Linked DNA regions of Elephas maximus indicus. The protein of the gene in region 1 interacts with the protein of each later gene in a pairwise test. Links are inferred from orthologs where the notes say so. Each region holds a gene or a part of one and is shown on either strand. Other genes may lie near its edges. The genes, in order: FEZ2 and SCOC.

Region 1 (16,147 bases):
TTTAGAAAATTTCTGAACTTAGACATAGAAACATAGAAGCATGTGAAATATGGAAGGAACATAAACAACCTTTAAGTTCACTTTGACCCGGCATGCTGTGACTTAAAACGTAACACAAATCTCAACAACCTCCCTAATCTCTAATCTTGAAGAGAAGATATGTCATTTGGCTACTCTCTAATCTTGCAGAAAAGACGTAGTAGTCTTTGACGTCACACTGGCCCTTGTCATGTGGAGCTAAGGTGACAAATTCACATATAAACCCTGAATTTCTGCTCACTCACTGAGAGAAGGCAGAGGGAAACACCAAGAGACTGCTGAGACTCTGTCTGCTGCCGCCAGCCTTGGACCCTAGCTTCTAGGGACCCCCGCCAAGTTCCAGCAGTGGCCAAGCCTTCCTCCTGAGATCTCTTGTTAAATGTAAAAGCCTGAAGTCTAAAGATTTGGACTCCAGCCATGTAACTAACACTGTAATTGTAATTTCGATTCTCTGGTTCTAAATGAATATTGTGAGGTCTTGCTTGGGTGCCTTGCCATGACTACTTTGAAATAAACTAAATGAGTTTATGTATGTCAAACCTGAGTATCTCTCTATTAATTATCTAAGATAAAATCCTACACAACAAAGGGTCAGTAAATAGAGGCAATGGATAGGCTCTGGGAGACAAAGATATTGGAACATGTACAAGGACCCCAGTGTTAGAGACACAACCTTGGTTTTGCTAGTGTACAAAAAAAATGTCAATTTGGTCAGTCAAAGTTAGAAAGAACTCTACCCTGTAGAAAGACGAATGACAAGGCGAAAAGCCAAAATCACAATCTTCTGAGGAGAAGACATTATAGGGAATATATTACATTCACATTGTTATAGCTCTATTATTCTAATTTTTCTTATAGTCTTAAAGGAGGCAAGAAAAATTCTTTACAATTTTAAAGATCCATATGCATATCCATGTCCTCTTGTTGAAGGAAGAGTTCTCCCTCCTCATTCTTTGTTCCTCATTCTTAGTAAGAATGTATAGTGGTAACAGTTGTAGAAGAAAGAGCACATAGAGGATATCATCCCAAGAAGCCTCGACATGTAAAATACTAAAAGCCTTAAAATTAAAAATATATATATTAGATAACTTTTGGTATATTCAGTTGTGCACAATCTTAATTTCAGATAAGAAAATTAAGAATATTTAAAAGCAGGAAATTCAGGCCATTTAGATTGTACATTTGTTGCTATCAATTATAGGATCCTTCAAGGTTAAATTATTGTTGTTGTTGTTAGGTGCTGCTGAGTCAGTTCTGACTCACAGTAACCCTATGTACAACAGAACAAAGCACTGCCCGGTCCTCTGCCACCTTCACAATTGTTATGCTTGAGCCCATTGTTGCAGCTACCATGTCAATCTATCTCGTTGAGGGTCTTCCTCTTTTTTGCTGACCCTCTACTTTACAAAACATGAGGTCCTTCTCCAAAGACTAGTCCCTCCTGATAACATGTCTAAAGTACGTGAGACAAAGTCTTGCTATCCTATCTTTTAAGGAACATTCCAAAACAGATTTGTTCATTCTTCTGCCAGTCCATGGTATATTCAATACTCTTTGTCAACACCATAATTCAAAGGCATCTATTTTTCAGTCTTCCTTATTCATTGTCCAGCTTTCACATGCATATGAGACAATTGAAAATACCCTGGCTTGGGTCAGGCACACTGGCCCTCAAGTGACATCTTTGCTTTTTAATAATTTAAAGAGCGCAGTAGATTTGCCCAATGCAGTATGTCGTTTGATTTCTTGACTGGTTAAATTATTAGAACAATTATAATTTAGATAAAAAAAACTACCGCCAGTAATCCTTCTGAGACTAGCATTTGATTATCCAGATCACAGGGCATGTGCTTGGCAGTTTCTTTCCAATCCAGCTATTTTAGTACTTTGTAAGGGCTCAGCTATGGAAAGTCACCTTGGCTCCTTCTATTGGGGGCCCTCCACTGTTTCTGTTCAGCCTGGTTCTGCTTGATCAAGGTCCTAATTAAATGCATTGAAACTGAAGGCATAACTATTCACTAAAGATGCATCCCTATCAAACTTGAATAATTAGAATTAAACAATCTTTATTAATAAAGGCTAGGTTAGCCTGAGACCAGAAGAACTAGATGGTGCCCGGCTACAACCGATGACTGCCCTGACAGGGAACACAACAGAGAACCCCTGAGGGAGCAGGAGAGCAGTGGCATGCAGACCCCAAATTCTCATAAAAAGACCAGACTTAATGGTCTGACTGAGACTAGAAGGACCCCAGGGGTCACGGCCCCCAGACCTTCTGTTAGCCCAGGGCAGGAACCATTCCCAAAGCCAACTCTTCAGACAGGGATTGGACTGGACAATGGGATAGAAAAAGATGCTGGTGAAGAATGAGCTTCTTGAATCAAGTAGACACTTGAGACTATGTTGGCATCTCTTGCCTGGAGGGGAGATGAATCTGGCTATGTGAGGTATAACAAAGTGAGATAACCTCTTCTTTACCGCAAGCCTTTGGGAGCTCATGGATTGATCTAAACAGGTAAAACTGGCAGAAAGTCTGAAGTTTTGCTGGTGGAATGTACACAAAATGAGAGAGTGGAGGGAAGGAGAGGGCTGTCTCTTTAGTGGGAGAACGATTAGGAGTATATAGCAAGGTGTTTATAAATTTTTATATGAGAGATTGACTTGATTTGTAAACTTTCACTTAAAGGACAATAAAAATTAAAAAAAAAATAAAGGCTAGGTTGTGGTCTTCAGTTACTTGAAAGGATCTCGATCGTTTCTTTTTGAAACAGAGACAAAATGGAAAGAACACATTCCTAGTGCGTGAACCCTGAAACTCAAGTTGTAGACTAGGGATGGGAGAGCCTATGTAGAGATGTATATGGGGTTTGGACGCACAGCTTGAGATGTCTGCATGTTTGCATTTGAGACCACTCAGGATGTGGTCTAGAGACAAAATGGAAAGAATACTACCCTTTCCATTTTTGGCAAGCCAACAACATTTGTTTAAATTCTTAGGTCAACATATTGATCTCTAAATTCTTTTTCCTTTTGTTTCTTCAGTTTTTCCCTTTCTTCCAATTATTGAATAGTTTTTTTTTTTTATTAGCTTATCTTTTCAAGAAATTTTCATTTATGTACATTTTTCATTGTCTTAGGGTTGCTTTATAATCTTCAGCTTTTGCTAAATACGGTGCTTTGACAACCAGATTATTTTCTGGTCTTGTCTCCAGTAGTTTCTTTCTTTTTCCAGTTCTTATATTTCCTGATTAATTATACCCTTAGATAAAGTCTATCTGTTGAATTATCTACTTTTTTGTTATTTAAATTTCTACTGTGGTGTACTACATATGTGCATAATTTAAGTATATTTTCAAACCAGAAAAGTAACTTTTCTCATCTTAAATGATTAATATGAACATAATACTCAAGCACCACAAAGCTCTCTACATTACTCTATATTCCCTTTCTAATTTTGAATCAAGCACTGAAAATTAGTTTTATAGGGTAACATTTCATATCAATTTAGCTAGCATATTTTCATTGGACCTCTAGGCATTGGTAGGAAATAAAAGGTCTGAAATGAACTGATTGTGGTGGACAAACTTGTAGAATCTGGCTATGTGAGGTATAACAAAGTGAGATAACCTCGTCTTTACCACAAGCCTTTGGGAGCTGATGGACTGATCTAAACAGGTAAAACTGGCAGAAAGTCTGAAGTTTTGCTGGATATGTGGCAATGTTTGTGGTTATTGTTCTATGCCATACAGTTGGTTCCCACCCATAGCAGCCCTATGTACAACAGAACTAAACACGGCTCCGTGTCCAAAGTATATGACATGAAGTCTCGCTCTCCTCCATTCTAAGGAGCATTCTGACTGTACTTCCAAGGCAGATTTGTTTGTTCTTCTGGCAGTTCATGGTATATTCAATATTCTTTATCAACACCATAATTCAAAGGCATTGATTCTTCTTTGGTCTTCCTGATTCATTGTCCAGCTTTCACATGCATATGAGACAACTGAAAATACCATGCTTAGGTCAGGCATACCTTAGTCCTCAAAGTTACATCTTTGCTTTTTAACACTTTAAAGAGTCTTTTGCAGCAGATTTGCCCAGTGCAATACATTGCTTGATTTCTTGACTGCTGCTTTCATAGGTGTTGATGAAACCCTCGATAACTTCAATCTTTTCTCCATTTATCATGATGTTGCTTATTGGTCCAGTAGTGAGGACTTTTGTTTTCTTTATGTTGAGGTGCAATCCATACTGATGGCTCTGTGCTTTAAGTTCTCTTCTCTTTCAGCAAGCAAGGTTGTGTCATCTGTATATCACAGGTTGTTAATGAGTTTTCCACTAATCCTGATGCTGCATTCTTCATCATGTAGTCCAGTTTCTTGGGTTGTTTGCTGAGCACATAGATTGAATAAGTAAGGTAAAAGGATACAACCCTGACGTACACCTTTCTTGACTTTAAACCACAAAGTATCCCCTTTTTCTGTTCGAATGACTGCATCTTTGTATATGCACATGTTTCTCGTGAGCACAATTAAGTATTCTGGAATTCCCACTCTTTACAATGTTATCCACAATTTGTTATGATCCACACAGTCGAACGCCTTTTCGTAGTCAGTAAAACACAGGTAAACATCTTTCTAGTATTTTCTGCTTTCCGCCAAGATCCATCTTACATCAGGAATGGTATCTTTTTTTTTTTTTTTAAATAATTTTTATTGAGCTTTAAGTGAACTTTTACAAATCAAGTCAGTCTGTCATGTATAAGCTTATATACACCTTACTCCATACTCCCACTTACTCTCCCCCTACTGAGTCAGCCCTTCCATCTTTGTATTCTATGTCCTCTTCTCTGAATCTCACTTGAACTTTTGACAGTTCCCTGTCGATGTATTGTTGAACTGCTTTTAAATGATCTTCAGCAAAATTTTACTTGTGTGTGATATTAATGATATTGGTCAATAATTTCTGCATTCTGTTGGATCGACTTTCTTTGGAATGGGCACAGTCGGTTGGCCAGGAAGCTGTCTTCCAAATTTCTTGACATAGATGAGATGAGTGAGCACTTCCAGTGCTGCATCTCTCTGTTGAAGCATCTTATTGGATACTCTGTCAGTTCTTGGAGCCTTGTTTTTCTTCACTGCCTTCAGTGCAGCTTCGACTTCGTTTAGTACCATAGGTTCTTGATCATATGTTACCTTCTGAAATGTTTGAACGTTGACCAATTCTTTTTGGTACAGTGACAGCGTGTGTTCCTTCCATCTTCTTTTGATGCTACTCGCATTGTTCAGTATTTTACACTGTAGAATTCTTCAACATTGCAACTTGAGGCTTGAATTTTTTCTTCAGTTCTTTCAGCTTGAGAAATGCCAAGTGTGTTCTTCCCTTTTGGTTTTCTAATTCCAGGTCTTTGCACATTTCATTATAACACTTTACTTTGTCTTCTTGAGCTGCCCTTTGAAATTTTCTGTGCAGTTCTTTTACTTCATCATTTCTTCCTTTCACTTTAGCTACTCTATGTTCAAGAGCAAATTTCAGAATCTCTTCTGACATCCACGTAGCAATGTTAAAAAAACCAAACCCATTGCTGTCGACTTGATTCCGACTCATAGCAACTCTTTAGGATAGAGTAGAACTGCCCCATAGAGTTTCCAAGGAGTGCCTGGTATATTTGAACTGCTGACCTTTGTGGTTAGCAACTGTAGCACTTAACTTCTGTGCCACCAGGGTTTCTGTAGCAATGTTAGGAAGCTAGAATTTGGCAAATGGCAAATAGTGTTGCTGGGATGTGGGCTATGGTTGTTGTCAGGAAATATGAGGTAAAAGGGTATAAGATGGTAAGAGCAGTCTGAGTCAAGTACCAAAGAAGCTAAAGAAAAGGGTGGGTACAGGCACTAGGGCCACAGCCTGGGCGGAACCCAGTGTCCTGTCGGCTGTTCTGGGAGGCTGGAGCAACTTTTAGTCATCACTTATCGCATGGGGAGAGGCTTGTGGAAGGCACTGAATACAAATATTTTTACTTCACAATTTTACCTGGTTAGTTATCCCACCACTTAAACTGTTTTCTGCTATTTCTCTTTCATGTTCACAGTGACTATTTGTAATCTGTAAAGGCACAGATTAGCATTTTGTTCCCTACTACAGTTTCTATTCTCATTGCTCGGTCCTCATAAAGTGGTAAAACCACAGACATATATAATCAGTTTTCTCAGTGACACATTTTGTTGGAGCATTTTTATAGATTGCATTGACTGCCAAGTTTATTATGGGTAAAAAAAAAAAAAACTCACTGCTGTCGAGTCGATTCTGGACCCCTAGCGACCCTATAGGACAGAGTAGAACTGCCTGATAGAGTTTCCAAGGAGCGCCCAGTGAATTCGAACTGCTGATCTCTTGGTTAGCAGCCGTAGCACTTAACCACTACACCACCAGGGTTTCCTTATTATGGGTGTGCAAATATAAATTAAGAAATGATTCAAATCCTGTTTTTGCAATTCAAAGTGTCCAGGGTGACACAAGGTAGTTTGCATTTAATTAAAAGTAAAAAGCATCCTGTGTAGAAAATTCGACTAAAATAAAATTCTGAGATCATAACCCTGTGGCAGTTTATTGCCAAGCAAATGAAAAGGTTGACAGTGCTACATTTGGGTTCTCAGAGTAAGTGAATTTTATTTCCACTCATAGATTCAGACAGACCACATAGGTAAACGGAGATACAAGTCAAGAAGAAAAAACAAACACACAAACAAAAAAACAATTTTGCCTTAGCTATCTATGTACACACTTCAGAGAGTGTGAGTCAACTCAGTATTCTCATAACTTTGTGTGTGGCTACAAACCTAGAGAAAAACAGCTCTTTGATAGGTTTAGAGCATCGCTTTGAGTAACGTTCAGATAGGTAAATGTCAGCTGAACCAGAATATTTTCTCATCAACCCCAAAGGTATTAACTGGTGGCTAATTAGTTCTAAGGAACCAGGGGGTGCAGTGGCTTAAAAGTTTGGCTGTTAACCAAAAGGTTGGCAGTTGAGACCCAACAGCCCTCTGTGGGAGAAAGATTTACAGTCTTGGAAACCCTGTAGGATAGTTCTACTCTGTCGTACAGGGTTACTGTAAGTCGGAATCCACTCAACAGCAATGGATTTGGGTTAATTAGTTCTAACTCTTGGCCAAGCAGAACTCAGGATTTGCTCCCTTTAAGGTTTCGGAGGAAATAGGGAACAATCTTGCCTGTAATTATCAACAGTTTCTTAGGCTCAATCACAGAAATATTTTGTTTAACATGGGACAAGAGATAACAATTGGAATGGGAAATAAGAAAATGTTGGTATTAACATATATTCTTGAGGATGGGTTTCCATGCTGTCAAAAGATGGACAAAGTATACTGGGAAAAATCTTATTTTCCAATTCCAATTTAAGGTTTGTTTTTCTAAAATACCTCCCCTTTCATGGTCAGCTTCGGCCCACGTTGTAAATGAAGTATTTGGTTACTCCAGTCCAAAGCTATCACTCTTATCAACTCTTAAGCATTTATTGCCTCTATATAATCAAGTCACCTTAAAATCATACTAATTTTTTATATCATACGAGAGATTTCCTGTTAGTCTTATCACACCCCCCACTACATTGTAAGCCCCTTGTAGGGAGCAGTGTGGATTTGTGGCCCTTACTAAGTGTAAGGCTCTGGTCTAAGTGCTTTGCAAATATTAACTCACATAATTATTAATCTTCATATGTTCCACAGGATGCAGCACAGCACGTAGGAGACATAAAATATTTGTGGAATGAATTTTGTACCATTTGAGCATTTCCCAGAGACTCTGGCTGTTATTCTGGTTGGAATGTTATAAAAGGACCAGGTTACTGTGTTGTTGGTATGTTGTTAGGTGCTGTCAAGTGCTTCAGACTCATAGCTACCCTATGTACAACAGAACGAAACACTGCCCACTCTTGTGCCATCCTTACAATCACTGCTAAGTTGGAGCTTATTGTTGTAGCCACTGTGTCAATCTATCTCATTGAGGTTCTTCCTCTTTTTCACTGACCCTCTACACTGCCAAGCATGATGTCCTTCTCCAATGACTGGTCCCTCCTGATAACATGTCCAAAGTATGTGAGATGCCTTGCTTCTAAGGCTGTACTTCTTCCAAGACAGATTTGTTCATTCTTCTGGCAGTCCACGGTATATTTAATATTCTTTGCCAGCACTGTAATTCAAAGGCATCAATTCTTCAATCTTCCTTATTCATTGCCCAGCTTTCACATGCGTATGAGTTGATTGAAAATACCATGGCTTGGATCAGGTGCACCTTAGTCCTCAAAGTAACATCTTTGCTTTTCGAAACTTTAAAGAGGTCTTTTGCAGCACGTTTGTCCAATGCAGTACCTCATTTGATGTCTTGACTGCTGCTTCCATGGGTGTTGATTCTGAGCCAAGTAAAATGAAATCTTTGACAACTTCAATCTTTTTCTCTCTGTTTATCATGGTGTTGCTTATTGGTCCAGTTGTGAGGATTTTTGTTTTATGTTGAGGTGTAATCCATATGGAAGGCTGCAGTCTTTGATCTTCATCGATAAGTACTCCAAGTCCTCTTTGTTTTCAGCAAGCAATGTTGTGTCATCTGCATACGGCAGGTTTGAATGAGTTAATGAGGGGTTACACTAGGGAGACTTGATGAGATGGATTGACATAAGAATTCAAACATACCAAAGATCACGAAGATGGCTGAGGAACAGCAATGTTTAGCTCTGTTACACGTAAGATGCCATGAATTGGAGGCCACTCAATGGCAACTAACAACAACACTCTAGGGAAACACCTTGGGGCAAAATTGGACACTTCCCCAAACTTCCATCCAGTAGATTCCAATTCATGGCAACCTGCTGTGTTACAGAGTAGAACTGCTCCATAGGCTTTTCTTGGCTGTAATCTTTACAGAAGCAGATCACCGGGCCTTTCTTCTGGAGCCGGTGGGTGGGTTGAACTGTCAAGCTTTATGTCAGCGGTTGATTGCACCACCCAGGCTGCAACTTAAAGGAATCTTTTATTTTAAACACATTTGAGCCAAATTTCCAGTAAGAGAACAAAGAAGGAAGATATTTCGAAATGACAGTGACTCAACACAGTGAAGGTTGTCCTTTCTATGTATGGCACCAACTGTCAACTCTGAGAAGATGGAGGGAAATGAAAGGCTAGGGAACTGGGTGGCTGGGACAGAAGACCTCCAAGTAGCAGGAGGAAGGGGGTAGGACACGGTATTTGGAGGCGGGGCCGGCCGCCGGGGTGGGGCGGGGCCGACGGCGAGGAGGGCCGAGCCGGCCGGGGCGGGGCGGGAGCCGTCAGGACCAGACAGCAGGGTGGGGCGGGGCCGGCCGGGGCGGGGCCGGCTGGCCGGGGAAGGGCGGGGCCGGTCGGGGCGGGGCGGGGCCAGACGGGACCTGTCAGGGCGGGGCGGGACCAGTCGGGTCGGGGCCGACGGCGGGGTTGGGCAGGGACGTCGGGGCGGACCGGGGCGGGGCCCGGCCAGTCGGGTCGGTGCCGACGGCGGGGCGGGGCGGGGCGGGGCCGGCGGGGCGGGGCGCGCGGCGGCGCCGGGAGGTGATGGCGGCCGACGGGGACTGGCAGGATTTCTATGAGTTCCAGGAGCCGGCCCGGAGCCTCCGGGACGAGGAGAACTGTAACGCGAGCCCCGAGGCCGGGGCCGGGGCAGGGGCGGGCGGGGGAGGTATCGGCTTCCCCGCGCTGGCCCGCAGCTTGGAGGAGAAGCTGAGCCTGTGTTTCCGGCCGTCGGGCGCGGGGGCCGATCCCCCGCGGGCGGCCGTGCGGCCCATCACGGAGCGCAGCCTCCTGCAGGGGGACGAGTGAGTGCGGCCCCTCCTTCCCCTCCCTCCCTCCCCCGTCGCCCGGTCCGCGGCCTCGGCGGGACTTCGGCGCAGGCTCCTCCCCGCACCCCCTTCCGCCTCCATGGACCAGGAGTCCCCGCCCCCTGCTCTTCCTCCCGCTTCCACTGCGCCTCCGGCCTCTGCAGCCCCTGCGAGCTGGGAGATCAAATCCCGGGTCCGCGCCTCCCACGCGGCCTCGACGCTCCGCCGCTGCCCCTCCGTCCCCTCTTTCATAGAAAGGAAGCCGGTGTTTGGTTTAGAGGGAGCCTCCTTGTACCCAGCCCGTAGTGAGAGACCGTCCCCACTGGGGCACGTGTGTCGCCATTCATTCGGTCAAAGAGCAGTTACTAAGCTCCTGCTAAGTGCCAGGCAGTGCCTCGCGCTAGGAATACAAGATGACTGCGACACTGTCTTTCTAAAGTAGGACACAGCCTAGGATGGGAGATTGATTTGAAAACACATGATTCGTATGGTCTGAAAAGTGCTGTAATGGGTATGTGCGCAAAATACGGGCGATCTAAAAGATGTGTGGGGGAGAGTCAGGAAAGCCTTCATAAAGAAAGCTGTGAAAACTGGATCCAGGTGAATGTGCAGGAGTTCGCCTGGCAGGTGAAGAAAGGTCTGGCGTTCTGGGCTGATGATATCCCACGTTTAAAAGTACTAAGTGTGAAACAGCACTTATGCCATAGGTATTTATTGGGCCCTGCAGAGTGTCCAGGTAGAGTGCAAGCTGCCGCAGAGGCTAAAAGGAAGGGCTCTGGATATTAATGGCAAGGATCTTACAGTGTGGTGGGGAGGCCAGTGCATAAGCAGTGGGAAGAGCCACCTAAATGCAAAGATAAGAAATTCACAGTGATTTATGAGAGCTGGGGAAGAGGCAACAGCAGAGCTCCTGGAGCACTTTATTTGACCACCCTGACCCCCAGTTATAATGTGGTGGAGTAAAAGTTGTAACTACAAAGCGGCATTTTACCTCAGAAGATGGTCAAAAGTGAGAGCTCAGAAAGTGAGCATATTGTATATACATGGGGAGAGGAGCTACTGGAGAGGCTGAAGGTAAAATTAACGGAGTGAGGACTGAGGATGTGGGTAGGGATGGTTTTCAGAGCATTGGTGGGGTGGAGAGAGTAGAGATTAGGGAACACAGTCTCTCTCAGAGAGGGAGAAGGATCCATGGCACAGAACGGTGTTCCAGCATGATGGCTTCGGTTTCCTCTGTGAACGAGGAGATAGACCAGGGATGAGGTAGGGAACTTGAGGAGAGTTGGAAACGGGCTTGTAAACAGTGCTAAGCAGTGTATGGCCCAGCTGTGCTTGGAGACTATATATATATATACTTTTAGTTTTTAAATACATTTTAATTTTTAGAGCAGTTTTAGGTTTACAGAAAGATTATGCAGAATGTTGTTAAAAAAAAAAATTTAAGAATGTTGTTAGGTGCCGGCAAATAGATTTCAACTCATAGTGATCCCATGTGACAAAATACAACTGCCCCCATAGGGTTTTCTAGGAGCAGATTCCCACTCACACTTTGAACCTCCAAACTTTTGGTTAGCAGCCAAGTACTTAACTGCTGCACCACCAGGGATCCTTATGCAGAAAGTACGGAGTCCAAATACACCCCATAGGCATTGTTTTTTCTATTGTTTCTATCTTGCATTCCTGTGGTATATTTGTTACAGTTGGGGAACCATCACTGGTATGTTATTAGCTGAGTCAGTGGTGTTTTGTGGTAGAAATCTCACCTTCCAGGCCAGAGCCTTCAGTTTGATTCCCAGCCAGTGCACCTCCTGTGGAGCTACCACCCATCTGCCAGTGGCGGCTTGCTTGTTGCTGTGATGCTGAGCGGGTTTCAGTGGAGCTTCCAGACTAACCCAAATTAGAAAGAAAAGGCCTGGTGGTCGATTCCCAGACAGTCACTGGAAGCCCTACGGATCACAGCAGTCTAATCTTTAACCCATCATAGAGATGGAGTAGGACCAGGCAACATTTCATTTAGTTTACATTAGGGTTCACTGATTGCATTGTCCAGCCCTATGGGCTTTGACAAATACGTAATGTCATGTGTCACCATTACAATATCATGCAGAATAGTTTCACTGCCCTAAAAATGCCCTGTGCTCTGCTTATTCATCTTTCCACCCTTCCCCCTGAGCCCTTGGCCACCCCTGATCTTTTCATTGTCTTTCTGTTTTGGCAAAACTGTATGTTTTTACTGATACATCTTCACAGTGTTCTGCCCAGGCAGAGGAGAAAAAAATTTATGATGGATTTTATGCACACAAATATGCATGCTGTCAACAACAAAGATGACAGTTTTGGAATCTATTCCGAAAGAAAAAATAGCTATATATGTGTAGATGTACCTGCCCTGAATCGCTAGAACTCACAACGTATTCTGGATTTTAAAATTTACTACGTATCAAGAGTTAACATACTCAAAACACATCAGTGGTTTGTATATAGACAATTAGAGGTTCCTGTTTTTGCCTCACAAGTACTGTCTGGAAGCAGTCTGTTTTAAGCCTTTGTTTAGATCACAGGTTGATGTGAAACTTAAAATATTTTGTTACGTTCGAAAACAGTTTTTAGTAGATATATTCCTGGTAGTACACATCCCTCGATTTGGTACATAAGAAATTTCTTTTTCTCTGTTCAGGGCCTGGGGCTGGTCACCATGGTCATTGTCCCCTTTCCAGTGCCTGAATCTGTTTGATAGAGCCCATCATGCTCCTTTCACTAGAGATTTAGAATTCTTTTTCTCAGATATTCCCTTGCTTTAGGGCATTTTAAGGAACCCTGCCGAGTCAGTGGTTAAGCACTGGGCTGCTGACTGAAAGGTCCACTGTTCAAACTCACCTAGTGGCTCTGTGGGAGGAATACTTGGCTATGTGCTTCCATAGAGATTACAGCCAAGAAAGCCCTATGGGCTCACTATGAGTCAAAATCCGCTCCATGGCACCTAAGGACAACAACAACAGGGCACTTTATTTAACTGTTCTGAGTCCAGCTTTAGTTTTGGTTAGATACAGAGTGTACTTATCTACCAAGGCTTTACTTTAGAAGGGTGTCTTCAGGATTCAGTGTTGTCAGACTTTGACCTCCCTAGAGCTGTTGTTTGTGATTGGTTGTAATATGTACATGATAAGCATGAAGACAGTTCATGTCTTGACTGGAGAATTCCAAAAATCTTTCAGGTAAGTTGGCCCTGTGTCCTTCCAGTTGCAATTGTTTTGGTCTTGGTGGAGATGAAAACCAAAACTCATTGTCGTGGAGTCTATTCTGACTCATAGCGACCCTATAGGATAGGACAGAGTAGAACTGCCTCATAGGGTTTCCAAGGAGCACCTGGTAGATTAGAGGACTGTTAATTGTTCTTTATTTTCTTAGAAGATCAAATTCACCCACAATCCCTTCTTCTAGGTAAAGTATTCCATTGCGCTTGTCCTTTTTTTGATAGTCTCATTTAAGAAGGAGCAGGCAAGCAGACAAAACAAAACCCAGAAACTATGGACTATTTTCACCTGCTAGACTATCCTACTGACTTTCATGACCAGGGTTTAGATATGCAGTCACTGCTTCAGTATTTGAAAATTTCAGCCAGGAAGGTGTGGACCAGAAACCCGGCAAGGTTAGCAACCCAGAGGCCTTAACATCTTTTCCTGGCACGTTGGCATTAGAGGAGACCTGATTCCAACAGAGAGGAGAATAGAAATGAGCTGTGCGAATGGGGATTTGCTGGGTAAACGAGATGGTTTTCAAGAGCTTCTTGAGTTCACGTTTTTAGCGAGGCTGAATGTGCGTTCCAAAGGCAAACGTCTTTTGGGACTTTATGATTTGGCAGTTGTGGTCCCATGGCTGCTGCTTTTTAGCACTAAATCCCTATTCATTAAATCAAGTATGCTGCCTCACTATTTTAAAATCTTGTATTCTTATTTTTATGTGCCCATTGTATCGTATTTGTTTTCCAGTGGCTTACACTTGGAAAAATTCCAACCAGTTATTGAATTGCTTATTCACAATTGTTGACATTAGTTGCTGTCAAGTTGATTCCGACTCATAGCAACCCTGTATATGCAGAGTAGAACTGTGCTCCATAGGGCTTTTGTGGCTGAGACCTTTTAGAAGCAGATTGCCAGGCCTGTCTTCTGAGGCACCTCTGGGTGGGTTTGAACTCCCAGCCTTTCGCTTAGTAGTCCAGCGCGTAACCACTTGTGCTGCCCAGGGACTATTCACAATTAGATACCCATTATAATTTTCAGATTTTTTTTTTTCTTATGACATCCATTTGTATACCTCTAGCCTTTAAATTATGGTGTTGGCGAAGAATATTGAATGTCATGGACTGCCAAAAGAGTGAACAAATCCGTCTTGGGAGAAGTACAGCCAGAATGCTCCTTAGAAGTGAGGATGGCGAGACTTTATCTCACATACTTTGGACATGTTATCAGGAGGTACCAGTCCCTGGAGAAGAACATCATGTTTGGTAGTGTAGAGGGTCAGTGAAAAAGAGGAAGACCCTCGAGATGAATTGACACAGTGGCTGCAGTAATGAGCTCAAGCATAACAACAATCACGAGGATGGTGCAGGACTGGGCAGTGTTTCGTTCTGTTGTACATAGGGAAATGACTCTACGGCGCCTAACGACAACACAGCCATGAAATAGCTTTTATGTGTAGTGTTTAACTTTACTTGCCCAGTTAATGAGATACATCTCATTTGTATCTCCGAACTCTGTTTTTGTCATACAACTTCATGTTTTATTACGCTGATTGTTACTTTAGTACTGAAACCTGAATTTCAGTCACGAAACTGGAGCTTGTTGTCCATATCTGGTGTGTTTGAGACTTTCCTCAATGCAACTCATTTGAATCAATACTTAGACTAATAGAGCTAGAGGGAATGTCTGCTATTCTTGTCCAAGCCTCTCATTTTATAGAAGGGTGGCTGATACTTAGACAGGTTAAGGGGCTTGTCCAAAGACTCTTTGTTTACGGAAGAATGGAGACAGGAGTCTGTGTTTCCTGAATCTCAGTCAAGTGCCATTTTCGTTTTACCCTACTGCTGCCCCAAACTGCCATTTGATAATAAGGTAGGGTAATTGCAGTAGATATTTCATTGCGAAGTCTGTCTCTTTCTCCTTTCATTCATTTCTGTCTTAGTTGTTAGTTTATTATATTTCAAATTAGATTTAAAATCCCTGTCTCTACTCGCATTGAGCCTGAATAGGGGTACTTTTCTTCAGAAAGTATAACACATCTTTGGTTAGAGAGAGATTATTGACTTTTATGAAACAGTCTATATGTTTGGAAGGAGCCCTGGTGGTGCAGTAGTTAAATGCTTGGCTGCTAGCCAAAAGCTCAGTGGTTTGAACCCACCAGCCCCTCTGTGGGAGAAAGATGTGGCAGCCTGCTTCTGTAAAGAGTACAGCCTTGGAAACCCTATGGCAGTTCTGCCGTGTCCTGTAGGGTCACTACAAGTCCGAATAGACTCGATGGCAAAGTTTTTTTTTTAATATGTTTGAAAGTTACAGAAAGAAAAGTGTAAAGTATGGTGTGGCTGCTACCTGTGTGGCCTGGAAACATTACTTGAACTCTCTGTGCCTTGGTTTCCTCATCCATAAAACAGGTAATAATGCATCCTACCACATAATATTGTTTTTAAAGATTAAGTGAGTTGATATATGTAAATTGCTTATGACAGTGCTGGCACACAGTACAGTTGAAGTGTTCGCCATTATCATCAGTAGTAATAGTTTGTAAACATCTAGGAGCTGGGCACATACTGACTTTGGGAGTTTCCTACGCTACCTTTCCTGAGGACTTGTCAGCCCAGTTATATGATTTCCATTTAGTCTTGTTTATCATGCTCTACTTTGGTGATGTTTTTCTGAGAAACGATGTGTCTTCTGTTTTTCTTCTTTAATACTCGGCGTTCTTCTTCCACGGTAAAACTAGTTGCTGTTGCTTCAGCTCCGACTCATGACGTCCTCATGTGTGTCAGTAGACCTGTACCCCACAGGGCTTTCAGTGGCTGATTTTTTCCAAAGTAGATTCCCAGGCCTTTCTTCCGAGGAGCCTCTGACTGGATCCCTATCTCCAGCCTTTTGGTTAGCCACCGAACGTGTTAACTGTTTGTGCGACCCAGGGACTCCTCTTCCACTGTTATGATAAATGTTTGTTTAATAAAAGACATGTGGAATGTTAATGTTTGTTGATTGTGGTTTTCTT
Region 2 (15,313 bases), on another chromosome or scaffold:
AGAAGGGCTCCCGACACAGGCGTGTTGAACTCTGGCGGTCAGCAGTCTGTTCATGTTGGGAGTGACAGGAGTAGGGCTCCCGACACAGGCGTGTTGACCTCTGGCGGTCAGCAGTCTGTTCATGTTGGGAGTGACAGGAGAAGGGCTCCCGACACAGGCGTGTTGACCTCTGGCGGTCAGCAGTCTGTTCATGTTGGGAGTGACAGGAGAAGGGCTCCCGACACAGGCGTGTTGAACTCTGGCGGTCAGCAGTCTGTTCATGTTGGGAGTGACAGGAGAAGGGCTCCCGACGCAGGCGTGTTGAACTCTGGCGGTCAGCAGTCTGTTCATGTTGTGAGTGAAAGGAGAAGGGCTCCCGAGCAGGCGTGTTGAACTCTGGCGGTCAGCAGTCTGTTCATGTTGGGAGTGACAGGAGAAGGGCTCCCGACACAGGCGTGTTGAACTCTGGTGGTCAGCAGTCTGTTCATGTTGGGAGTGACAGGAGAAGGGCTCCCGACACAGGCGTGTTGAACTCTGGCGGTCAGCAGTCTGTTCATGTTGGGAGTGACAGGAGAAGGGCTCCCGACACAGGCATGTTGAACTCTGGCGGTCAGCAGTCTGTTCATGTTGGGAGTGACAGGAGAAGGGCTCCCGACACAGGCGTGTTGACCTCTGGCGGTCAGCAGTCTGTTCATGTTGGGAGTGACAGGAGAAGGGCTCCCGACACAGGCGTGTTGAACTCTGGCGGTCAGCAGTCTGTTCATGTTGGGAGTGACAGGAGAAGGGCTCCTGACACAGGCATGTTGAACTCTGGCGGTCAGCAGTCTGTTCATGTTGGGAGTGACAGGAGAAGGGCTCCCGACACAGGCATGTTGAACTCTGGCGGTTAGCAGTCTGTTCATGTTGGGAGTGACAGGAGAAGGGGTCCCGAGCAGGCGTGTTGAACTCTGGCGGTCAGCAGTCTGTTCATGTTGGGAGTGACAGGAGAAGGGCTCCCGACGCAGGCGTGTTGACCTCTGGCGGTCAGCAGTCTGTTCATGTTGGGAGTGACAGGAGAAGGGCTCCCGACACAGGCATGTTGAACTCTGGCGGTCAGCAGTCTGTTCATGTTGGGAGTGACAGGAGAAGGGCTCCCGACACAGGCATGTTGAACTCTGGCGGTCAGCAGTCTGTTCATGTTGGGAGTGACAGGAGAAGGGCTCCCGACACAGGCGTGTTGACCTCTGGCGGTCAGCAGTCTGTTCATGTTGGGAGTGACAGGAGAAGGGCTCCCGACACAGGCGTGTTGACCTCTGGTGGTCAGCAGTCTGTTCATGTTGTGAGTGACAGGAGAAGGGCTCCCGACACAGGCGTGTTGAACTCTGGCGGTCAGCAGTCTGTTCATGTTGGGAGTGACAGGAGAAGGGCTCCCGACACAGGCATGTTGAACTCTGGCGGTCAGCAGTCTGTTCATGTTGGGAGTGACAGGAGAAGGGCTCCCGACACAGGCGTGTTGACCTCTGGCGGTCAGCAGTCTGTTCATGTTGGGCGTGACAGGAGAAGGGCTCCCGACACAGGCGTGTTGAACTCTGGCGGTCAGCAGTCTGTTCATGTTGGGAGTGACAGGAGAAGGGCTCCCGACACAGGCGTGTTGACTTCTGGCGGTCAGCAGTCTGTTCATGTTGGGAGTGACAGGAGAAGGGCTCCCGACACAGGCGTGTTGAACTCTGGCGGTCAGCAGTCTGTTCATGTTGGGAGTGACAGGAGAAGGGCTCCCGACACAGGCGTGTTGACCTCTGGCGGTCAGCAGTCTGTTCATGTTCGGAGTGACAGGAGAAGGGCTCCCGACACAGGCGTGTTGACCTCTGGCGGTCAGCAGTCTGTTCATGTTGGGAGTGACAGGAGAAGGGCTCCCGACGCAGGCGTGTTGACCTCTGGCGGTCAGCAGTCTGTTCATGTTGGGAGTGACAGGAGAAGGGCTCCCGACACAGGCGTGTTGAACTCTGGCGGTCAGCAGTCTGTTCATGTTGGGAGTGACAGGAGAAGGGCTCCCGACGCACGCGTGTTGACCTCTGGCAGTCAGCAGTCTGTTCATGTTGGGAGTGACAGGAGAAGGGCTCCCGACACAGGCGTGTTGAACTCTGGCGGTCAGCAGTCTGTTCATGTTGGGAGTGACAGGAGAAGGGCTCCCGACACAGGCATGTTGAACTCTGGCGGTCAGCAGTCTGTTCATGTTGGGAGTGACAGGAGAAGGGCTCCCGACACAGGCGTGTTGAACTCTGGCGGTCAGCAGTCTGTTCATGTTGGGAGTGACAGGAGAAGGGCTCCCGACGCAGGCGTGTTGACCTCTGGCGGTCAGCAGTCTGTTCATGTTGGGAGTGACAGGAGAAGGGCTCCCGACGCAGGCGTGTTGAACTCTGGCGGTCAGCAGTCTGTTCATGTTGGGAGTGACAGGAGAAGGGCTCCCGACGCAGGCGTGTTGACCTCTGGCAGTCAGCAGTCTGTTCATGTTGGGAGTGACAGGAGAAGGGCTCCCGACACAGGCGTGTTGAACTCTGGCGGTCAGCAGTCTGTTCATGTTGGGAGTGACAGGAGAAGGGCTCCCGACGGAGGCGTGTTGAACTCTGGCGGTCAGCAGTCTGTTCATGTTGTGAGTGAAAGGAGAAGGGCTCCCGAGCAGGCGTGTTGAACTCTGGCGGTCAGCAGTCTGTTCATGTTGGGAGTGACAGGAGAAGGGCTCCCGACACAGGCGTGTTGACCTCTGGCGGTCAGCAGTCTGTTCATGTTGGGAGTGACAGGAGAAGGGCTCCCGACACAGGCGTGTTGAACTCTGGCGGTCAGCAGTCTGTTCATGTTGGGAGTGACAGGAGAAGGGTTCCCGACACAGGCGTGTTGAACTCTGGCAGTCAGCAGTCTGTTCATGTTGGGAGTGACAGGAGAAGGGCTCCCGACAGAGGCGTGTTGAACTCTGGCGGTCAGCAGTCTGTTCATGTTGGGAGTGACAGTAGAAGGGCTCCCGACACAGGCATGTTGAACTCTGGCGGTCAGCAGTCTGTTCATGTTGGGAGTGACAGGAGAAGGGCTCCCGACGCAGGCGTGTTGAACTCTGGCGGTCAGCAGTCTGTTCATGTTGTGAGTGAAAGGAGAAGGGCTCCCGAGCAGGCGTGTTGAACTCTGGCGGTCAGCAGTCTGTTCATGTTGGGAGTGACAGGAGAAGGGCTCCCGACACAGGCGTGTTGAACTCTGGCGGTCAGCAGTCTGTTCATGTTGTGAGTGACAGGAGAAGGGCTCCCGACACAGGCGTGTTGAACTCTGGCGGTCAGCAGTCTGTTCATGTTGGGAGTGACAGGAGAAGGGCTCCCGACACAGGCGTGTTGAACTCTGGCGGTCAGCAGTCTGTTCATGTTGGGAGTGACAGGAGAAGGGCTCCCGACACAGGCGTGTTGACCTCTGGCGGTCAGCAGTCTGTTCATGTTGGGAGTGACAGGAGAAGGGCTCCCGACACAGGCGTGTTGAACTCTGGCGGTCAGCAGTCAGTTCATGTTGGGAGTGACAGGAGAAGGGCTCCCGACACAGGCGTGTTGAACTCTGGCGGTCAGCAGTCTGTTCATGTTGGGAGTGACAGGAGAAGGGCTCCCGACACAGGCGTGTTGAACTCTGGCGGTCAGCAGTCTGTTCATGTTGGGAGTGACAGGAGTAGGGCTCCCGACACAGGCGTGTTGACCTCTGGCGGTCAGCAGTCTGTTCATGTTGGGAGTGACAGGAGAAGGGCTCCCGACACAGGCGTGTTGACCTCTGGCGGTCAGCAGTCTGTTCATGTTGGGAGTGACAGGAGAAGGGCTCCCGACACAGGCGTGTTGAACTCTGGCGGTCAGCAGTCTGTTCATGTTGTGAGTGACAGGAGAAGGGCTCCCGACGCAGGCGTGTTGAACTCTGGCGGTCAGCAGTCTGTTCATGTTGTGAGTGAAAGGAGAAGGGCTCCCGAGCAGGCGTGTTGAACTCTGGCGGTCAGCAGTCTGTTCATGTTGGGAGTGACAGGAGAAGGGCTCCCGACACAGGCGTGTTGAACTCTGGCGGTCAGCAGTCTGTTCATGTTGGGAGTGACAGGAGAAGGGCTCCCGACACAGGCGTGTTGAACTCTGGCGGTCAGCAGTCTGTTCATGTTGGGAGTGACAGGAGAAGGGCTCCCGACACAGGCATGTTGAACTCTGGCGGTCAGCAGTCTGTTCATGTTGGGAGTGACAGGAGAAGGGCTCCCGACACAGGCGTGTTGACCTCTGGCGGTCAGCAGTCTGTTCATGTTGGGAGTGACAGGAGAAGGGCTCCCGACACAGGCGTGTTGAACTCTGGCGGTCAGCAGTCTGTTCATGTTGGGAGTGACAGGAGAAGGGCTCCCGACACAGGCGTGTTGAACTCTGGCGGTCAGCAGTCTGTTCATGTTGGGAGTGACAGGAGAAGGGCTCCCGACACAGGCGTGTTGAACTCTGGCGGTCAGCAGTCTGTTCATGTTGGGAGTGACAGGAGTAGGGCTCCCGACACAGGCGTGTTGACCTCTGGCGGTCAGCAGTCTGTTCATGTTGGGAGTGACAGGAGAAGGGCTCCCGACACAGGCGTGTTGACCTCTGGCGGTCAGCAGTCTGTTCATGTTGGGAGTGACAGGAGAACGGCTCCCGACACAGGCGTGTTGACCTCTGGCGGTCAGCAGTCTGTTCATGTTTTGAGTGACAGGAGAAGGGCTCCCGACACAGGCGTGTTGAACTGTGGCGGTCAGCAGTCTGTTCATGTTTTGAGTGACAGGAGAAGGGCTCCCGACACAGGCGTGTTGAACTCTGGCGGTCAGCAGTCTGTTCATGTTGGGAGTGAAAGGAGAAGGGCTCCCGACACAGGCGTGTTGACCTCTGGCGGTCAGCAGTCTGTTCATGTTGGGAGTGACAGGAGAAGGGCTCCCGACACAGGCGTGTTGAACTCTGGCGGTCAGCAGTCTGTTCATGTTGGGAGTGACAGGAGAAGGGCTCCCGAGCAGGCGTGTTGACCTCTGGCGGTCAGCAGTCTGTTCATGTTGGGAGTGAAAATGCAGTTTCACCGAAGCAGCACCACTTTCACATTAAATTGATGCTGGTAGTTTAAACATTATTAATTTTTTAGGTTATCTGGCTGTGTTCTCATTGTTAAGTTGGAATGACATTCATTTGCAGCTTTCTGCATCCTGAGACTAAGTGGATGTCACTTTGCATCCCACATTAAAATATCACTCTTGCTACTTTTTTTTACTATGTAGAGAAGAGCCCGGATGTGTGCATGGCAAGGACAGGAGTCAGAAAGCTATTTCAGTAACCCAGATCCAAAAGAGAATTGCTTGGACCAGAGCACGTGGAGATGAGACAGTGAATGATTATCAAATTTTGGATATACTTTCCTGCATCAACAGGGCTTACTGTTGAATTCAATGCAGTATATGAGAGAAAGAAGAGTCAAGGATTATGCCAAGGTGTTTGATCTAAGCATCTGGACAGACAGGGCTGCCATTTACTGAGATAAAGAAGATTGTGAGAAAAGCAAGTTTGGGGTATGTGTATGGAATAATAAGTTCTTTTTTTTTTTTTTTCTTTTTTACCATATTGTGTTTGGCATGCCCAGTAGACACACAAGTGGGATGTTGAGAAGAGAGTTAGCTATACCTGTCTAGGGCCTAAGTGGAAGATCCATGCTGGAGATATAAATCACAGAGTTGACAGCATATAGATGGTGACCAATGGCAATAAGGTTAAATAGTGAGTATAAATAGAGAAGAGGTCTGTGGACCCAGCCCATTGGCTCTCTGACATTTAAATATTATGGCGATAAGGAGAGTAGAAAGGAGCAATTCTTAGACTTGGAAAGAATTAACAAGTAGGAAATGTAAATTAATTGGCTTTTTAATTCTTTCATAATAATTTTCTAGGACAGTGATTAATTGTAAGGGCAAATAAATAAACAAAAGTCATAGATTCCTTAAAGATACGATAAAATTAGAAATAAATAACAAGCAAAAAGCGAGCAAACAAGTAAAAACTTGACTTTGTTAGTGCCGTGATCATAAAGGATTTTTTTTTTTTCTTTTTTTTGGTCAGTTCTCTGTCCTGACCATATTTAACAGATCAACAGTATTCGACACAGTTGAGCTTTCCATTATAATTTATTTTTTCTATGGCCAATGAACAAAGTTATTGTACTAATTTACATTCCCAATAGCAACAAATAATAGTTCTGTTTCCCCACATCCTTAGCAACACTTATATCTGACACAGTAATTGTATACTTACAGGCACCTTCTTTTCCAATTTTCTTTTTGTTTATCCTTGTATCACTACTACATTTTTAAAAGTTGCTTTTCGTAGTTTCTTTTGTTTTTTGGTGTTCTACTGTTTCAGCACGAAGTGTCTACATATGGAATTCTTTACATTAATCTTGCTCAACAATAAGTGCTTCTTAAATCTGAGCATTTAAATATTCCACCAACCCTGGAAAATGCTTTGAACGCTGCCCCATTCTCTCTGGTCTCTCCTTTTGGCACTTCTATTAATGTTAGACTTTTCTTATTTTCCGTTTATTTATCTCCGGTATTGCATGCTAGTAAATTTCCTGAAGTTGTGCGTTGTAGTTCCGGCCAAATGTAGAGCTCTCAAACACTGAATGGAAGATTTTTTTAATGCAGCCCTTAAAAGGACTAAGGCTGTATATCAGCAAACTGTGACAGAAGCAAAATGGAAAGAAACAGGCAGGCATGAGGCTAACCCCAGCAGCTCCGGAGACTGTGCCAAAGTCAAAACATGGATCTCTGCTGGTGTCCCCACCTTATAAAAAAAACAAATACTAAAAACAAGCAGGATTGTGCCATGTGCCAATTGCTAGACATCGATAAACAGTGTCAAGCAAGACCACATTATCATCCGAAAGCTGGCGTGTGTCATTTTGTACTGCAGGTTTGACCTTGAGCAAGAGATTTCTTTTTCTCTAAGCGTCAGTTTCTTTCTTGGGTTGATGTGAGGGTCAAGTGCGATGAAGTGAGCAAAAGCGCTATACTAAAGTGCTATTGAAGTATTTTCTCAATTCTAAAATATCATTTGTCAGGGGCACTAAAGATTTAATAATAGTTTGAGGGAGGCAGGCAGGGAGAACATTCCACTTCACGGACACTTTACGAGCATTTCAATTTGGGAAATAAAAAATATGGTAAAGTCTACTTTTAGAATCAAGGAACAAAGGTATTGCCTTGGCTCTCTCTCTCTTCAGTTCACAAATGCCCCTTTCTTAAATTTGAATGATTTTTCCCTCGCCTACCTTTCGGCTAAAGCAACCGTTTTCCTGACAGCAGCCGGGATTATCCGGTCAGGATTTCTGATCCCAATTTTCAGGTTACTGCAGAGACTGAGGAAACCCTGGTGGCATACTGGTTAAGAGCTATGGCTGCTGACCAAAAGACTGAAAGTTCGAACCCACCGGCACTCCTCTGAAACCCTACGGGGCAGTTCTACTCTGTCTTAGAGTCCCCATGAGTCGGAATCCACTCCACGGCAACCGGTTTGGTTTGTTCCTTTTGCTGTGCTACAGCTGCTAACCAAGTTTGAATCCACCAGGTGCTCCTCGGAAAGCCTGTGGGGCAGTTCTGCTCTGTTCTATAGTGTCCCTATGAGTCGGAATCAGCTTGATGGCAGTGGGTGGGTGGTGGGTGGTGGGGGATGGGGCTGGGGGTGGGTGGTGGGGGATGGGGCTGGGGGTGGGTGGTGGGGGATGGGCTGGGGGTGGGGGTGGGGGGTGGTGAGGCCCAAGAGCTGCATCGCCTGGACCGGCTATCACGCGCTTAACCTCGCCTCCGTACTTTCATTGGCTGTTGCTCTTCCCGGACACGCCCATCCTTCCTTGCCCACAACGACCTGAATCCTGATTGGAAGCCAATGTCCTTTTATTACAGCAAAAGATAGATCAGGTGCTTTGAGCCAGGAAGAGTGGGGCGCCGGGCAGCTAGTACGCAGGCGTGTACTCTGAGCGATGATTGGCTGGCAGCTGTGTGGGCCGAGGCGGGACTTCTGGCTCGGCGCATGCTCCGTGAGCGGAGGAGGCGGGGCTGCCCGTGTCAGTGGGCCCAAGTGTCCGGGCCTGAGGCGTCTTCCCAGCCCGTCCCTGTCGCGGCGCCTCGAACGGCAGGTGAGGGCGGTTCCGGGCCGGGGAGCCTGGAGTAGCGGCGTCTGTGCCGCCGAGGGCCGGCAGGCGGGATGGGCGGGGACGCGGGCGGAGCCCGAGGGCCGGGGGAGCGGCCTCCGCCTAGGCAGTCGGTGGGTGGGCGGCTGAGGCCTGGCTTCCTGCAGATCCCCGCGCCACCTTCCTTCGCTTATCGCGTTATCGGGCCAGAGGTACCTGTGGGGCGGGCCCCCCCCGGCCCCGGCCTCGGCCCCGGCCCCGGCCCGAGCCCCAGCCCCCGGCCCCCGGCCCCCGGCCCCCAGCCCCGGCCCCCGGGCCCCAGCCCGAGCCCCCGGCCCCCAGCCCCGGCCCCCTGCCCCCTGCCGCCTTCTCCCGCTGTCCTCGGGATCGCGACCGCGGGAGGGCCGTTTGGGCGGGATGGGACCCGGCACGACTGGACCTGCCCTGGCTGTTCTGCCGAGAGTCCGAGTTGGGGAATAGGGCCGGAAGAGGACGGGGAGGCGGGGAGGGAGGCGGGCGAGCGGTGTGATGAGCTCTGGGGGCCTATCCAGGCGCTGACGGCAGCACCCGGCTTTGATTCTCCGTTGGCTTCTCACAAGAGTCCTGCTGAACAAGTTTGGGCTGTGTGTTAAGGATTGGGGGGAAAAAGGCTACTTTCCTAGAAAGGCAAGGAAGGCTTCTGTTATCCAGTGTATCAGTCTCACTAGTACTATGACATAACAACATTAAAAGCAGTTACTTGCCTGCTGTTCCCAACCCGGTCTCTCTTCCTGTGAGGACCCATGCCTGTATATCCTCGTGAGCCCCACTGACAAAACTCAACATGGTTAGCCCCTCTCTGGGGATCTAGCCTGAGTTCAGATCCTCATTTGATCTTGAGGAATTTGAAACGTAATGTATCTAACCAGAACCAAGTTAAAACACTGAATTGGAGTGAATCTGAGCAAAGTCGATGCAGTTTAAAGGGAATGAAATTTATCTTCAGCATCAGGGGTTGTAAAATGTTGGGCAAACTTTCATTGCTGTTGTTGTGGGGTGCCGTTTAGTCGTTTTCGACTCGTAGCAAGCCCAAATGACAGAGTAGAACCACCCCATAGAGTTTTCTTGGCTGTGATTTTTATAGTGCAAAGGCTAAGGGATACTGAAAGGTTGGCGATTGTACCCATCAGCCCTTGTGGGAGAAAGGCCTGATGATTTGCTCCTGTGAAGATTACAGCCTAGAAAACCCTATGACGTAGTTCTCCTGTCACATGAGGTCACCATGAGTCAAAAACAACTGTGGCACCTAACAACAGTAATGCTTACCGAAGCAGACCTCTGGGTCTTTCTCCCGCTGGGTGCTGTGTGGGTTCACATCACCCACATTTCAGTTAGTAGCCTAACCCTTAGTCATTGTACCACCAGGGCTCCATAAACTTTGATTAGGGCCATATTAAAATTTCTTTCGTTGTTTAATGGAAAAAGCAGGGACTTTGAAGTTAGACCTGGGCTCAGATTCTTGGTACAGACATTGGTTGTGAAACTTGAGGCAAGATACATAACCATTCTGAGATTTAGTGTCCACATCTGTAAATTGCAATGTCCTTCTGTCAATTTGATGAAATAATAAGTAAAGCATTTAGTACATTAATGCGCAAAGATATTATTTTAGTAGTTTTACGAGTCCATTATAAGTAGATGACAGAGGATGGTTGGTAGATTATAGATGGAAATCTGTTTTAGATGCAGAAAAGTTTGGTGGTTTAGGCTGGGCAAATAACAGGGAAAAGTCTTAAAACCTTAAGCCTCATGTGTGAGCATAGCGGTAATGGAATGGTGGAAAAACCCACAGTGGGACATTGGCTGCAGTCTTGGCTCTGTTGATAATTAGCTCTATGATCTTGGGTAAGCCACTCTCATCTTTGGCAGGTAGACCAGATGATTTTTCTAAGGCTCTTTGGCCTGAATTGTTTAAGCACCCCTCTCACGCATTATTTTCCTAGGCGTGCTATGCAAGTTATATGTGTGGATGTGTTATTTGCAGAAAAATGTGGTATATACAGGTACTGTTCCAAGCATATTTGTGTATCAACTCATTAAATCCTCACAACAACCCCACTAGGTACATTCTGTTGTTTTTCCCACTTTACAGATAAGGAAACTGAGGCTGAGATGTTAACCTCATCTGGGGCTTCAGAGCTTATAAATGGCAGAGCTAAGGTTTGAATCCATGCAAAGTTCGTGTTCCTAATCACTGTGCTAAACTTCCTCTTGAGAAGAGGGATGTTGTGATACTATTAGTAGAAACGTAGAGGTATATTTGGGTAATGTGATAGTCTTTGGTCACAGTTAGGTGTGGGCACAGAAAAGATAACTTAGGTGATTAAATGGATCTTGTCCTAATGCTTTCCATACTTCCTGATCCTTGTTCTCACCCTACCTTCTGGTTCCTGGACTTAAATTATCAGAATAATTCTGGGTTCTCTACTACTGACCACAACTGGTTGAGGATAGGCACCAAAATTTACTGTGATTTTTGAGAAGTTTTATAAGATGTGTGACCTAGGCTTGGTTGAAGTTGAAGGCTCTTGGAGCATCATGTCCATTTCAGAGCTAAGGCAGGAGCAGGGTAGACAGGGCAGCCTTGGCTTGAACAGAGCCGCAGCACCCCACATTTGTTTCAGTGTTCTTGCACTTGAGATACTTTGGATTAGATTTTCTTTTCAAGTCAGATTTCCATTTATGTGTAGGAATGAGAAGAGTTTAAAATGAACTCATAAGAGTACATTTGACGTGGAATTGGATAGATGTGATAGCAACTGTAGATAAGGAAGGATTTTATAGTTGGAAAAATCAGTCTTGTATTGAGTACATAATTATGATATGCTGTGGTGTAGTGTGTGATAATATTTTAGGCTAAATATTGCAGTTTGAGGATTGATTGTATTTTGAAAGAAAATAATATCCACGCCTGAAATATTTTGACACAGGGATCTCAATAAACCCTTTGATCCCAGTAAGGAAGTCAGCTTGTTACTCTAAAATCTACAGAAATATTTTGAATATATACAATAGAACAGTGTTTGAGGTCGTAGTATTTCGTTACATTGCAATAGGAGAAAATTGCTACTTTTTGTTGTTGTGGAGAGACAGCAGATAATGCTCTGGTCTACTTTATTTAGAAGTAGTGCCTTTTGCATAGGGCTGTGACATACAGTTGGGCAGGTTTTGTACTGTACAACCCTTGGGGTGTGTCTTTTACACAGACTCCGTGACTGGTGCTGCCTAGGTTGTGTGGTATAGCCTACAGGACTGTCCTGGTGGCCCAGCTTTTGTCCTGCTCCCCCATTCCTGTCAATCAGTCCCAACTGTGCTTTTCTTAGAGCAATTTTTCACCTAATTAGGCCTCTAGGCCTCTCTTCCCTTGTTGTTTCTGCTTTTTTTTTTTTCATTTTTTTTTGTGTCAGATGAAGTCAAACTATTGATAAGCTATTTATAGATTTTCTGTTTGAGCCAAACAATGTGACCAAAATTTCAGAACCTGGCTTTTTTTTTCTTTATTCTCGACAGTGATTGGTCTGAAACACTTGTGCATTTGTAGAATACTTTTTGGTTTAATTTTAATGTTAGAAAGAAACATAAGCAAAATAAGTATATCCCATCCCCATACTACATCAGATTTCAAAATCACATGTATTTAATTTCATGATTATTAGTTGCTTTCGCTTGTAAAACTCTTCTCATATATTATGAAAATTGTTTTAGCTGTATTCTTCAAAAAACTCAAAAACCTGGATAATAGAAATGTTAAGCTCTTTTTATCAAAAGCTAAGGTGTACAGGGGAAATGGCCAAGTTGCAGTCTACTGTGGCCGAGTCCTCCTGAAGTCACTTACTTTTGCTTTTGGCTGTTGCCTCTGTCATCTCTCCCAGCCCTCCTTCAGCCAGATGAGTGGTTGAAATGGTATGAAAAGTGAGGATGACTGGACCTCCTTAGAAATATGCATCTCTCAGGGAAGTGTCAAATCAGGCCTTCCTTGCTAACACTCTTCCTCTTCTGTTATAAGAGATTGAATGGAGAGGAATAATTTTCTAAGTGTGATCTTCAAACACCAGAATAGGTTGAATAAGTTACCAAAAAAAGAACATTTGAAAGAATGTATACCAATCAGTCTATTTAGATTTACATGGATATACCAAGATATACATTCTTTGAAGTGCACAGAACCATGTGAAAAAGAAGTGGGAGAGAGCACCTGTAACAATGGATAAGTGGTTGTGAGTCTAGTTTCTAGTGTACAGACATCCTTGCTCCATAGGGCTGGGTTTCACTGGTTAGCATATGGAAACAACAATATCTAGGTGTAGTAAATGCTTCATAAATACTTGGTGAAAGAATAACACCATAGACAAAACAGGTCTAGGTTGCTTCAGTGTAGTAGATGAGTTAAAAGATCTGTTTTTGGTAGCAATCTGGTAGGATTATTTAATATATTTTCAGCACTTTGAAGGTGAAATCAGTGTTATCAGGTTAGCAGAACATGTTCCCCTGGAATTTTGTGGTCTGATATTTTGGAGCCTTTTATCCGAACAATGATATGTTAGTATTTTACTTATTTACAGCAGGATTCATCTGTTTTGGTTTAACTATAACCAAGAGGTGACATGGAAAACTTCCATTTATTCCATAGTAGTGTTTTAGATACATAGTATTTTTCTTTTGAATCCCCTGGACAGCAACAGGTTTTTTTTTTTTTTTTTGGTAAACAGTATCTGTAAAACAGTACTTTAATGATGAAGAGTATTTTGAAAAGGATTGGTCTTCATCCTTACCATTGTCTTTAATAACTTTTTCATTTTGCTGTGTTTGTTTTATACATATTTATTCATCTTTTACATAATTTACATCAGTGAATATACAATTTCATAAACATTCTTCCATGTTGTTACAGTCATCATAATTACTTTTCGTAGCCACTGTATTAGAAATTACAGCAGAATCTGAATGGACAATTATGTTGTTCCCAATGTATTAGGTCGTGAATAAGGTTGAAGTGAACATTTTTATATGTGTAACTTTTTCCTTCATTGTCATTGTCCTTAGGTTAAATTTCCAAGGGTAAAATTACTTAGTAAAAAAGACTTACATGTTTTTATGAATCTTATTATTGCTGCTTTCCAAAAAAAAAAAATACATATTGAAAATTTGTGTCCAATATTTGTGTATTTGTTTTTCCAAAACCTTACTAGTATTAATCATTCTCTTGCCTTTAAAAAAAAAAAATTTAATAGATGTACCAAACCAAACCGGTTGCTGTTGATTCGATTCCAACTCACAGCAACCCTATAGGACAGAGTTGAACTGCCACATAGGGTTTCCAAGGAGCAGCTGGTAGATTTGAACTGCCGACCTTTTGTTTAGCTCTTAACTACTGCACCTCCAGGGTTCCTAATAGATGTACAGGGGTATCTCATTTTATTATGCATTTTTTTTATTACCAAAGAACTGAACATATTTTATTGTTCATTAACATACTTCTCTTGTAAATTATTTATACACACCCTTTGCTATCGAATAAGGATAGCAACCAGTGGGGGTACAGTGGTTGAAGTGCTGGGCTGCTAACCGAAAGGCCAGCAGTTCGAACCCACCGGCTGCTCTGCGGAAGACGTGGCGGTCTGCTTCTGTGAAGGTGACGGCCTCGGGAACCCTATGGGGCAGTTCTGCCCTGTTCTCTAGGGTCGCTGTGAGTTGGAATCAACTCAGTGGCAGTGGGTCTGGTTTTGGGTTGGTTGCAGTTGGATATTTATTTTATTCTTAGAAACAGTAAAGCATGTGATAAGGAGCCTATTAGGTCAATAATTTAATTAAATCTTTTGAAAAAGCATTTGTGTTGCTGTATGTGTTTATATTTCTGAGTCTTTCCTCACTGCAGGTCATTCATCAAGAATTTTGTATCCAAGGCCCAGAAGTTTGTTACCCAAGATGATGAACGCAGACGTGGATGGTACGTCTCTCGTTTTCCTTCCGGTACATTCCTGGCTTTGTGGATGCTTTGGCAGTGGAAAGAACAGAGAAGCAATTATTAGAAGACTTGGATCTAAGCTAATGTGTTTATTTATATCCCATATAACTTAACTGTGAAGGTTTTGGAGCTGGTTTAATTTCTACTCCGGTGTCCTCATCTGTAAAGTGGGGATGTAGGTTTTTACTTCACAGAGCTTTTGTACAAGTAAGGTAATGAACATAAAGCATCTTGCAGATTTTTTAAGCACTAAGCTACACAAAAGATACCTCATGTTAAAAATAAATTTGAATCTTTTTTTATTACAGCAGTTGATGCTGAAAATCAGGTGGAACTGGAGGAAAAAACACGACTTATTAATCAAGTGTTAGAACTCCAACACACACTTGAAGGTGAGCTTGCATTTTGTGGTTTTCTTGAGTGACATCCCATTAATTGAAATTAGCATTTATGTCGCTAACTTTTATGTGAATGTACACAATTTTTTAAAGTATAAACTGCAAAGTCCCTTTCAATAGTTTTTTCCTCCTCCTTCCGCCTGCCTGTGGTGTTGGCTGGTGGTTTCAAAGAAGAGATGTGGTTCAGCAAGGAGGTCAAGTAGTGTTAATGTTTCCTCTTTAAGGTCTTACATTTTTCCTTCAATACCTGGCATAATGCTGTTTTGTACCTGAGAGCCTATTTTTAAGCCTCTGCATTGTATGAAGTCCACATTTATTAAGCTTATATTAAAAAATAATGTATTAATCTCATAGAGATTAAAAGGGAATTGATCTCAGTTTTTTCATTTTCTAAGTGTCTTGTATATAAAATTAATTACCATCACTGAAACATCTTTTGTTTCTTAACGAAATTAAAGAAGCTGTGTTCTGGAGTTTTTTGGAGCCAGAGTAAGCAGATCATGGCACTTGGAACCCTCCAGTGGCTTCCCATTTACACAGATGGTTAACAGCCAGAGTCCTTCTGTGGGCTAGACTTCTCTGTTGCCATTCAGAGTCTTGTCACCCTCTGCCTCGTAAATTCCACCTCAGACGCACACTCACCTCCTTCAACGTTCCAAGGATGTTTCTGTTCAGGGCCTTAGGAGTTGCTGGTCCCTCTGCCAGAATCTTCTGCCCTTAGTTATTTGCATATCTATATTCCTCAGTTCCCGCACTTCATTTAGGTCTCTGGTCA

What was found.
Region 2: the proteins of FEZ2 (region 1) and SCOC interact in binary tests that used the Homo sapiens proteins (3 or more experiments, as listed by UniProt). The link is inferred for Elephas maximus indicus from reciprocal best matches to the Homo sapiens genes FEZ2 and SCOC.

Annotation. Positions count from the first base shown.
Region 1 is NC_064844.1:27,843,289-27,859,435, forward strand, and holds the start of FEZ2 (fasciculation and elongation protein zeta-2), read left to right. Parts: upstream 1-9,602; 5' UTR 9,603-9,635; coding exon 9,636-9,895; intron 9,896-16,147. UniProt on the Homo sapiens protein: Involved in axonal outgrowth and fasciculation.
Region 2 is NC_064823.1:2,550,434-2,565,746, reverse strand, and holds the start of SCOC (short coiled-coil protein), read left to right. Parts: upstream 1-7,942; 5' UTR 7,943-8,036; coding exon 8,037-8,142; intron 8,143-8,170; exon of another isoform or gene 8,171-8,348; intron 8,349-14,050; coding exon 14,051-14,122; intron 14,123-14,448; coding exon 14,449-14,532; intron 14,533-15,313. UniProt on the Homo sapiens protein: Positive regulator of amino acid starvation-induced autophagy.